3 linked regions of the Rattus norvegicus genome follow. The protein of the gene in region 3 interacts with the protein of the main gene of each other region in a pairwise test. Links are inferred from orthologs where the notes say so. Each region holds a gene or a part of one and is shown on either strand. Other genes may lie near its edges.

What was found. The genes of interacting proteins can lie anywhere in the genome.
Region 1: the proteins of Marchf2 (region 3) and Ldlrad1 interact in binary tests that used the Homo sapiens proteins (3 or more experiments, as listed by UniProt). The two-hybrid records come from large-scale screens. The link is inferred for Rattus norvegicus from reciprocal best matches to the Homo sapiens genes MARCHF2 and LDLRAD1.
Region 2: the proteins of Marchf2 (region 3) and Furin interact in a protein complementation assay, tested with the Homo sapiens proteins (2 studies listed by BioGRID). The link is inferred for Rattus norvegicus from reciprocal best matches to the Homo sapiens genes MARCHF2 and FURIN.

The regions. Positions count from the first base shown.
Region 1 is NC_086023.1:127,222,772-127,226,421, reverse strand, and holds part of Ldlrad1 (low-density lipoprotein receptor class A domain-containing protein 1), read right to left. Parts: intron 2,491-3,650; coding exon 2,365-2,490; intron 201-2,364; coding exon 63-200; intron 1-62.
Region 2 is NC_086019.1:143,759,452-143,763,101, reverse strand, and holds part of Furin (furin precursor), read left to right. Parts: intron 1-1,363; coding exon 1,364-1,576; intron 1,577-2,006; coding exon 2,007-2,107; intron 2,108-2,211; coding exon 2,212-2,315; intron 2,316-2,401; coding exon 2,402-2,519; intron 2,520-2,609; coding exon 2,610-2,789; intron 2,790-3,133; coding exon 3,134-3,258; intron 3,259-3,365; coding exon 3,366-3,476; intron 3,477-3,650. UniProt on the Homo sapiens protein: Ubiquitous endoprotease within constitutive secretory pathways capable of cleavage at the RX(K/R)R consensus motif. Mediates processing of TGFB1, an essential step in TGF-beta-1 activation.
Region 3 is NC_086025.1:15,192,732-15,196,381, forward strand, and holds part of Marchf2 (E3 ubiquitin-protein ligase MARCHF2), read right to left. Parts: intron 2,442-3,650; coding exon of another isoform or gene 2,419-2,441; coding exon 2,223-2,418; intron 1-2,222. UniProt on the Homo sapiens protein: E3 ubiquitin-protein ligase that may mediate ubiquitination of TFRC and CD86, and promote their subsequent endocytosis and sorting to lysosomes via multivesicular bodies.

The DNA of each region.
Region 1 (3,650 bases), on a different chromosome or scaffold from region 3:
CTGCAAGGGGAGTTAATGTGGTTATGGGGATGAAGAGGGGTATGGGATTGAGGGGTACTCACGACACAAGTTCTCAGCCTCGTCCTCACCATGAGGACAGGTGCGGATGCCATCACACACGGCATGGGCCGGGATGCAGTACCTTCGGTCATGGCACAAGAACCCCGTCCTGTTGGCCAGTGTCACACAAGAGTGAGGCTCTGTAGGGGCAAGAGAGACCCTAGAGTGAAGGTAGAACTCATACAGGCAGCCCTGGGGTGGGCAAGGTGGGCACTGCACTAGGTCCCTCAGGGAGCCCCTTTGAGCTCCTAGAGGGCCTCGGGCAGTGGAGAGGCTCTGAACTCCAAGGCATATGTGGACTTGAAGCTGCCACTCTGCCTATGCCACAGCATGACAGGCACAGGTGACCTGGCCTTCTATAGCCTAAGGTCCTTTGTCCTCAAAATAGAGGTCATAGCCTAGCCCCAGAGGTAGGTGGCATGTTGGGAAACATGGTTGTTTTAGACACTGGCTCACAGGCTGTGCAGGGTGGTTTGGTCACACAGGAAGCACTAAGGACAGCATCATACAGATTTAATGATGGATCTCCTGGAACAGGTTAGCTTGTTGGAAGCTGTATATTTGGCTGTCTGGGGACTGCATGTCATAATCCCTTCTGGCTGGGTATACCTTAACAGTCAGCAAACTTCCATAATTTTTTTTATTGTTCCTCCAAGTACTCATAAGAAATGTTACCCTTAAGCTCACCCTTAAAGGTGGCCACAAGATTTAAAGGAGAAACTGACTTAAGGAGATGGAGGTCATAGGCTGTGCCTATGGACACATGTGCAAGTGTATTTGAGCCAGTAGGAGTCATGTCTCCATTCCCAGAGCTACCGCAGCTAGTCATAAGAGGCACCCTTAGATATACACATTGTCACAGATGCACACAGGAAAATGAACACATTCATGTGTACTCACATGCACACACCTGTACCTTCGTGCACATGCATACAGCAACAGATGCACACACAGACACTCGAACATGCACTGACACACGTTCACAGACACACCGACATGTGCATTAATGTACGCGCAGGCAGGCAGGCACCTGCACACATACAGGCATTCACACACACACACACACACACACACACACACACACACACACACACAAGTGAACACAAGCAAGCAGGCATGTGCATTGCATGCACACGGGCACTCACACACATGTGCATACACAGGTCTATGGCTGCAACTCCCCCTTCTGCTATGATTTCACCTTTCCTCTTCCTCGTCCCTTACAGCAGCCCTGCCTGGCCATGGAGCCCTCTCTCAGAAAGCTAGTTCTTCGAAGGATGGGACCTCTCTCTAAGCTCCTGGCATATGACCTCCCTCCCAAGGGCAGCTCCTGAGGCCCTAGGCACTGAGCCCACTCCCTCACTCCCTTCCTCTGTTACTCTCCCACTGTCTTCTTGCCATCTCTCCTTCTCCGTATGCTTCCTTCCACCATAGGAACTCCACACACACTGGTCCCTATGCTGGATGCTATCCCTTACACTCTTTGCTAACCAATCCCTGCTTTCCCTTCTCACTTCAAGTCTATTCCACCTCCCATGGTGCTCCTCACCCTAACTCCCACCACACTGATGGGAGGAGAGCCCTGGCTCCAGACTCCTGGTCTCCCATTAGGCCCGAGTGTTTATTGGATCAAACTCATAGAGTTCTCTGAACTGCTCCCTGAGGGTGGGGACTGCACTGGGCAGCTCAGCACTGAGGTCAGACTGCAGGGAACTTCTGGGCCCAGCCTGATGGGTAGTTGAAAGTACTAACCAGGCTGGCCAGGCCTGGAGAATAAGAAATGCAGTGGCTGTGGGAACTGAAAGGAAGCTCCTAGCCCAGCTCAGGGGTCAGAGAGAATTTCTTAGAGGAAGAAACATCAAAACCAGGACCTCTCAATAGATCATGCTGGGACTGGAGAGGCGGTTCAGTCAGTGGTCAAGAGCATTTGTTGCTCTTCCAGAGGACCTGGGTTCAATTTCCAACACCCATATGGATACTCCTAACCATCTGTAAGTACAGTTCCAAGGGGTTTGACATCATCTTCTGTCACCCCTGGGCACCAAGCACACATGTGGCATAGACATATATGTGCAGGAAAAACACCCATACACATAAACATAAACTTTATAAAGATGAAATAAAAAAATTAAAATAGCGCATGACAAGGATATGTACACAAATAGCCTCTCAGCCTTGTAACCACACACTGACAGGTACCTCTGCATGCACCTTAAGGAACCACTCAAGTCACTCAGGAAGAAGCCAGGCAGGGCTGGGGCTCCCGTCTCCCTGAGCCTCCAAGCCTCCTTCTTGCCCCCTGACCTGGTGTGCGCTGTGGATGTCCCAGGATGGTGACGATCAAGAGCAAGGCGGCAAGCATGGCCAGCAGAAGCAGCAGGAAGACAGAAAGGCAGGCCCCGCGGCGTGAGTAGCAGAGGGGGCCACAGCCTGTGGAGGGGAAGACAATGAAGAGGTGCAGGGATCCCCCCAAGATCCCAGGTGCAGGCAGCCCTCCCTAGTGAGGGAGTACTAGGGCGAGAGGAAGCATTCCTAAGCCTTCCATGACACTCTCTGGTCCTGCCTGTCCTCCACCATCACCAAATGCCATTAGGGGCTAGCCTCTGCTTCATACAGGGTATCTCTCCTTCATGTCCTTCCTAGCCTATCCTCATGATCAGGGGCATAGGACAGTGGACATCTGTGTACCCAGAGCAGTCTCAGAGCATGCTTTCGTGGGAATGGGATGGGGGGGTTGGGTTGGGAAGCAGAGGGGAGGGGGGAAGGATTATCCTGATTGTACTCATTGAAGTGGGCAATACTATTCCCTAAATGGATGCTGGACTGCGGAAGTGGAGAGTCCGAGCAGCAGACAGTCTCTGCATTCACCCCTCTCCTCTTTCCATTGCGGGTCTGATATGACCAGCCCCTTCCAGCTCCTTGAGCTCCCTGCCACCATGGACTGGCTGTGACTTGACCTTTGTAGATGACAAACCGAGGTTCCAAGAAACAAACATCCGGGTCACCCCTGTTCTGTTTGATGCCAAAAGCCAGAGCCTTTGCTCACCTCCGGCCTATCATCTGTTCTAGTACCCCCCAGAACCGTGGGCATTTGCTTTGCTGGGTCTCAGCCTCCTCGAGGGCTAAGCCGGGACGGGGAGAGTTACTGTGGTTTGCTGGGGGCTGGTTAGCTGAATGATTATTCTGAAACAGTAGGTGCTAAGTGTGAGCTAAGAATTTGTTGTGCGACTACCAAATGCCACAAACTCTAGGCATGGCAGAGACAGCAGTTAAGGAGAAGCTGGCAGATGTCCCATACTCTAGACTTGTGCTCCCCTAATTCCCTTTGTTTCTTATGTTTTTCAAGATAGAGTCTCTGCCTATCTAGCTCTGGCTATCCTAACTCACTGTGTTCAGCCTGGCCTTGAACTCACGGAGATCCGCCTGCTTTCACGTCCCAAGTGCTAGGATTAAGGGTGTGTAGCACTGGGGCTGGGGATTTAGCTCAGTGGTAGAGCGCTTGCCTAGGAAGCGCAAGGCCCTGGGTTCGGTCCCCAGCTCCGAAAAAAAAGAACCAAAAAAAAAAAAAAAAAAAAAAAAAAGGGTGTGTA
Region 2 (3,650 bases), on a different chromosome or scaffold from region 3:
TGCTTTTTGAGACGAAGTCTTCTGTACAGTTTAGACTGGCCTATGTAGCCCAGGCTAGCCTGGAACCCATGATTGCACTGCTTCAGCTTCTTGACTGTTGGGATTACATGTGTGCACCACTTTACCTGGTTGATTAATTTTAATCTTGACAAAAGTGGTAAAATTGAATGTTATAGAGGCTAGAGAGATGCCCCAGTGGTTAAGAGCACTGGCTGCTCTTGAAGACTTGGGTGTGGTTCTCAGAACCCACATAGTGGCTCCCAACTTACCAGTAACTCCAGTCCAGGGAACTGATGCCCTCTTCTGTCCTCCCAGGGCACCAGACACACATGTAGTAAGTACATGCACATATATACAGGCAAAACACTCCTGCAATAAAAATAAAATTTTAAATAAAAATCAATTTAAGAAACTAACTGTTACTAAAACATTAAGAAGTTGGGAACTGACGATATATCTTCATTTTATTTATTTTATGTTATATAAATATTTTAATGGCATGCATGCCCATTGGATTTCTGGTACTGGGAGTATGGGTGTTTGTGAGCCATCATGTGGGTGCTGAGAATCAACCCCAGGTCCTCTGCAAGAGCACGGTGCCCTTAACTTCTGAGTTCTCTCTCCAGCCCTTTTGTTTCCTTAACTGGGGCGGGGGTCTGCGGGGTTACATGAGCAGAGGCATTACCTGTGTTGGCAGCTCCTCTGCCACAGAGCCACATCCCAGCCTCAGCCATGGGTTTGATTTTAGCACTACCAAAATAGTAAAGTGATAGGGTCACAGAGATGGTTAACAGGTAGTCTGCACACAAGCCTGAGGGCCTGAGCTCAAGCCTCAGTCCCCATATAAATGTGCAAGGAGAGGAGGATCAGCTCCACACAGATGCTTCTGGTGACCACATGGGTATCATGGCACACATGGCCATACAAATGTAACACAGTATCTTTTTAGGTTAAATTAAGTAATGGGAAAAAGCAAAAAGTGCCCATTCTCCCATTCTGTGGGGCTCACCCCGCTCTGGGGATCACCCCGCTCTGGGGCATCACTCTGCTTTAAGGGGATCACCCTGCTCCAAGGGATCACCCTGCTCTGAGGGGATCATCCTGCTTTGAGGGGATCACCCCACTCTGGGGGATCACCCCGCTCTGGGGGATCACCACTCTAAGCATTTTGGTGTGAGCCTGGTCCAATTTGATTTTGTGTAGTCATCTACAAGGGATCTTTGGTGATTCTAAGAAGTGAATGGAGTCCATAGAGACAGAGCTCACATCTTCTCAGTCTGCCTTAACATCTTCCTGTTAGACCTCCTTGCTCTCTACCCCACAGTACACCATCTTGAGTAACCTCAGCCCACTGTGTTTACAGGGCCGCGGAGGGCTGGGCTCCATCTTTGTCTGGGCCTCAGGGAACGGGGGCCGGGAACATGACAGCTGTAACTGTGACGGCTACACCAACAGCATCTACACGCTGTCCATCAGCAGTGCCACACAATTCGGCAACGTGCCCTGGTACAGTGAGGCCTGCTCCTCCACACTGGCCACCACCTACAGCAGTGGCAACCAGAATGAGAAGCAGATTGTGAGTCTTGCCCAGGGCTGGGGGCTGGGAGGGGAGGCTCCTTGCTCTCTGCTCAGGGCGCCATTAGGCCTTATCCACTCTCGTCCCTGTGTGGCTGAATAGAGTAGCTTGGGCCTTGTGCAGTTACCCTGTGAGCTGGGGATTCCCCCAGACCTCTGAGGGCTACCAAACCATCCCCGACCCCCTGAGAAGTATAGACTCTCCCTAGAAATATCCCTTATGCTCCAACCTCTGACTGTTTCCCAATTATTCCTTGAGAACCTTGGCCCTAGAAGGAGCTATGCATGGTAGTAAGGTAGAAGCTGGACCTCAGGTGTCTTAACTGATTCACTGTACCATCTAGGGTACCCAGGTCCGATAGACAAAAGGACAGGCAGGTGGCTCCTCCTCCAGATATCCATCAGGTCTCACCACTGTTGTTCCCTGGCAGGTGACAACTGACCTGAGGCAGAAGTGCACTGAGTCTCACACAGGCACCTCAGCCTCCGCCCCTTTGGCAGCTGGTATCATTGCTCTCACCCTGGAGGCCAAGTAAGTGGGCAAGCAACAGCCCGCCCCCACCAGTGCCCCTAAAAGCAGCTGTTTTCTGCAGCCACGGTCCAAAAAGCCTGACCCAGACATTTTCTCCTTTGCAGCAAGAACCTCACCTGGCGGGACATGCAGCACCTGGTGGTGCAGACCTCAAAGCCAGCACATCTCAACGCTAACGATTGGGCCACCAATGGCGTGGGCCGGAAAGGTGAGGGCAAGGTAACCCAGAGGTTTAGGCTCTGAGGCAAGATGGGGGCTCTCCTACCTCCCATTAACCCTTCCCTGCCTCCACAGTGAGCCATTCCTATGGCTACGGGCTGTTGGATGCAGGTGCCATGGTGGCCCTGGCCCAGAACTGGACAACAGTGGCCCCCCAGCGGAAGTGCATCATTGAAATCCTGGCAGAGCCCAAGTAAAGACTGGACCTGAGTGGGAGGGAGCTTCTGGGGTGCCCTCTGTTACTGCTGGCCTGGTTACTGACTCACTGGTGCTCATTGCACAGGGACATTGGCAAACGGCTAGAGGTGCGCAAGACCGTGACAGCGTGCCTGGGTGAGCCCAACCACATCTCCAGACTGGAACACGTTCAGGCACGGCTCACCCTGTCTTACAATCGCCGTGGTGACCTGGCTATCCACCTCATCAGCCCCATGGGCACCCGTTCCACCCTATTAGCTGCCAGGTGCTCTCCATGTTTCCTTCTCATGTCCTACATCATTCCCTCCTTTGTCCCCAAGACTCTAGCCACCAGTAACACGTGGGAGGGACAGCTCGTCCTTGTGACTCCCTCAGCATAGGAGCCCTTGCTTAGACTGCTGTCTGACATGCCAGCCATGTCCCTTGTGAAATAGGGCCCCTGGCTAAGGACACTTGGGAGACAGCTTGCCCGAGATGTGCTTCCAGTCCAGCAGGTTGCCTCGTGGGGAGGGGTGGTGCATGTCCCATGTGTCATGGGCTAGGTGTCCCCTGACCTGGGTTCCTGAAGTCTAAAGCCTCAGATGGCTATAAGGAACTCTCTTCCTCCAGACCACATGACTACTCTGCTGATGGATTTAATGACTGGGCTTTCATGACAACTCATTCCTGGGATGAGGACCCCTCTGGCGAGTGGGTCCTAGAGATTGAAAATACCAGCGAGGCCAACAACTATGGTACTGGACACACTGACAAGTGGAGGGTGGGAGAGAGCCGGTGGGACCTAGGGTGTTAGCAAGGTGCTCACACCCCTGACCCTTTTCTCTTACCAACTCTGGAATAGGGACGCTGACCAAGTTCACTCTCGTCCTATATGGCACAGCCTCTGAGGGTCTCTCTGCACCTCCAGAGAGCAGCGGCTGCAAGACCCTCACATCCAGCCAGGCCTGCGTGGGTCAGTAGTGACGTGATCAAGGCTGGGGAATTGGGGGGAATGGGGTTGGAACAGTGGAGTTGGAGGGGCCAGTGAACTTTAGAGAAAAACCTCCTGGGGACTGTGGGGACTACTTAGGACTGTAGGTCTGTGGAGCCTGGGCGGAGCTCAGGGACTCAGAGGCCATTGTTCACT
Region 3 (3,650 bases):
CCACTAAAACTTTACTTAGGAGACAGAGTGTGACCTGGAACTCTGAGTCATAACAAAGTCTTTCCTGTTTAACGTGTTTTGTCAGGGTATTTTTTTTTAAAAGATTTATTTATTTATTATACACTGTAGCTGTCTTCAGACACACCAGAGGAGGGCATCCGATCCTATTACAGATGGTTGTGAGCCACCATGTGGTTGCTGGGATTTGAACTCAGGACCTCTGGAAGAGCAGTCAGTGCTCTTAACCACTCAGCCATCTCTCCAGCCCCCTTGTCAGGGTATTTTATCACAGCAAACAGAATAGGAACTAAGACACCCTCATAATTATCCCTACCAACTAGCCTGTCTGGAGATCATGTGGCCATTATTAACTCTGGGTGTCCTGGTGACCAGGACCAGCACTTGACAAAACACTGGGCACACCAGAGGTACTCAAAGAAACACTTTGTGATCTGAGCTTGGTAGCACCTACTGGTAACCCCAGAAACCAGAAAAGTCTGGGACAGGAGGATTCCAAGCTTTGGGTCAACTGGGCCTATGATAGGTAGGTAGGTAGGTAGGTAGGTAGGTAGGTAGGTAGATGAGAGAGAGAGAGGGAGTAGGGGGAGTAGGGTGAGATGGTTAAGCAGGTAAAGGCACTTGTCAAGCACCAAGCCTGACAAGTTGAGTTTGTTCCCAGGTCCCACATGAGATAACTAACTTCTACATGCTGTCCTGTAATATACACTCATAATCTATGGCACATGCGTATCACACGCACACGCGCACACACACACACACACACACACACACACACATACACACATATACACATATACGGGGTTGGGGGGGACAGGGACAGACACAGGGACAGAAAGGAAGAGAGAGGGAGGGACAGGGACAGGGACAGACACAGGGACAGAAAGGAAGAGAGAGGGAGGGACAGGGACAGGGACAGACACAGGGACAGAAAGGAAGGGAGAGGGAGAGGGAGAGAAACATACATATATACATATAATTTAATTTTTAAGGTATTTGAAGAAGAAACAATGGGATGACATGGTAGAACATAACATTAATTCCAGCCCTCAGGAAGCAGAGGTAGGTGGATCTCTGGGAGCCTAGCCTGGCCTTCATAGGGATTTCTACGCCAGTTTTAGAGCTACTTAGAGAGACCCTGCCTCAAAAACTACCCCCAACAACTGTGGTAGCTGGAACATGAGGCTCACAGATAGCTCAAAGCCAGCTTGGTCTGCATAGCAAGTACCAAGCTAGCCAGGGTTACATGATGTAGCCTTGTCTTAAAAATAGATAGACAGGGATTGGGGATTTGGCTCAGTGGTAGAGCACTTGCCTAGGAAGCGCAAGGCCCTGGGTTCGGTCCCCAGCTCCGAAAAAAAGAACCAAAAAAAAAAAAAAATAGATAGACAGACGACAGATGTAAACAAGTAAAAACCTAGGCGTGGTGATGAACTTATTAATCCCAGGATCAGGACTTTAAAGCCAGTCTGTTATAATAAAGCAAGCTGTAGGTTACATGAGACCACATCTCAAAAATATAAGAAAGAACTAACAACGGTAGCCCTAGTGTTCAAGCCTTGTGATCCTGACAGTCAAAGTAGGAGCACCTCCATAACCTAACCCTGAGTCCCAGGCCTCCCTGAGATAAAATGACAATACCTACTTTACAAAAAACAAAAAACAAACAAAGCTAGCCCAGCATGGTATTACATGTTCATACTCATAACACTCAGGAACCAGAGACAGGAGGAAAGTGGCAAATTAAAGGCTAATTATAATATTAAAAGTGGGGAGCTGGCTAGGACTGGGATTATGACTCAGTTGGTAGAAAGCTAGCCTAGCATGCATGAAGCCCTGAGTTCCACTGCTAGTACTGCATAAACCTGAGGTGATACAGCATGCCTGTAATCCCAGCATTTGCACAGTGGAAGCTGAATGATCAGGAGTTGGAAAGTCATCTTCAGCTAAAAGCTACTATGAGGACAGCCTAGGACACTTGAGAGTGTTTCAAACACAAAACCAAACAACAATCCCAGAGGAGAGGGGGGTAGGGCACGGCAGGGAGGGGCTTGCAGACCTGTTGGGTTCCCACAGATCAGCAGATCCCTCCCAGCACAGGCAGGAACATAACCAGCTTTCCCAGCTGACCTGGGTCGCTGCTACATCTGTCCTCAAACTGCCCTTCCTCCTTCTGGATGTCCAGTCTCCCCCAAGCAATATACCTCTGTGAGAGGTCGGGGCCGCTTTTCCACTGCAAACTCAGTGTGACACAGCTCACAGTAGCTGGTGTTGGAGGAAGACAGCCATTTCTCCAGGCAGCTCTTGTGCACAGCTCCCAGGGTGCCAGTACAGCCACATGGGGACAGCAAGTTCTCCCCATTTGCTCCCTCATGGCAGATTCGGCAGAAGGGACAGTCACTGGAGGGACACAGAGATAAGACCTGTGAATGATGGATGGTAAGGCTTCTTGTTTAAACTGATATCAGTACTTGCTAGCTTATAAGCTCACTGTCACTCCCACGATGCTATTTGGTAAACCTCTGCTCATCCTTCAACAGCCCAGCTCCAGATGTCCTCTTCTTCACATAACTTTTCAAATTCCCATTGGTAGGCCCATATGTTCCCTCCCCAAAGCTACTGTGGGCTCTTTGTAGCCTAGAGTGAGCAATCCTATCCATCCATCGGCCTGCCTAATGCTCTCTTCTTTTGGTGAAACACTATCATGATATTCCTACATAAATATCAACTCTTTGTGGTCCTTCTGTGGTCCATTCTTAGTCGTTCTGATGTTTTATCTTGTCAATTTGACAGGAGGTAGAATCACTCTGGAGACAAGTCTATGGGCATGTCTGTGAGAGATTTTCTAAGTTAAGTTAAGGGAGTGGAAAGACCCACCCTAAACATGGATGATCCACTCCATGGTCTGGGGTCCTGGAGTGAATGAAAGAGAAGAAGCAGAGACACAAGAAAGCTCAGTGGATAAAGGTGCTTGCTGATAGGTCTGATGACCTGAGTTCAATCCCTGGAGCTCACATGGTGGAAGAGTCCTGACCTCCATATACATGCCATGGCATATACAAATACACATGCCATGGCATATACAAATACACATGCCATGGCAGATACAAATACACATGCCATGGCATATACAAATACTCATGCCATGGCATATACAAATACACATGCCATGGCATATACAAATACACATGCCATGGTATATACAAATACACATGCCATGGCATATACAAATACACATGCCATGGTATATACAAATACTCATGCCATGGCATATACAAATACACATGCCACGGCAGATACAAATACACATGCCATGGCAGATACAAATACACATGCCATGGCATATAAAATACACATGCCATGGCAGATACAAAGGAATGCGCATACACGCACATACAACTTTTTAAAGAAAAAAGCAAAGTGAACACAAGCACTCGTCTCTCTGTTTCCTAAGCTTCCTAACTATGGGCGTAATGTGACCAACCATCTGTGTTTCTGCCATTGTGACTTCCCAGACGGTAGCTTGGAATTGTAACTCAGAATCAATCTTTCCTTTCTTAAGTTGCTTTGGTCAGGTGTTTTGCCAAAGCAACAAGACAAATAACTAATACAGTCCTCAAGGACTATGGCAC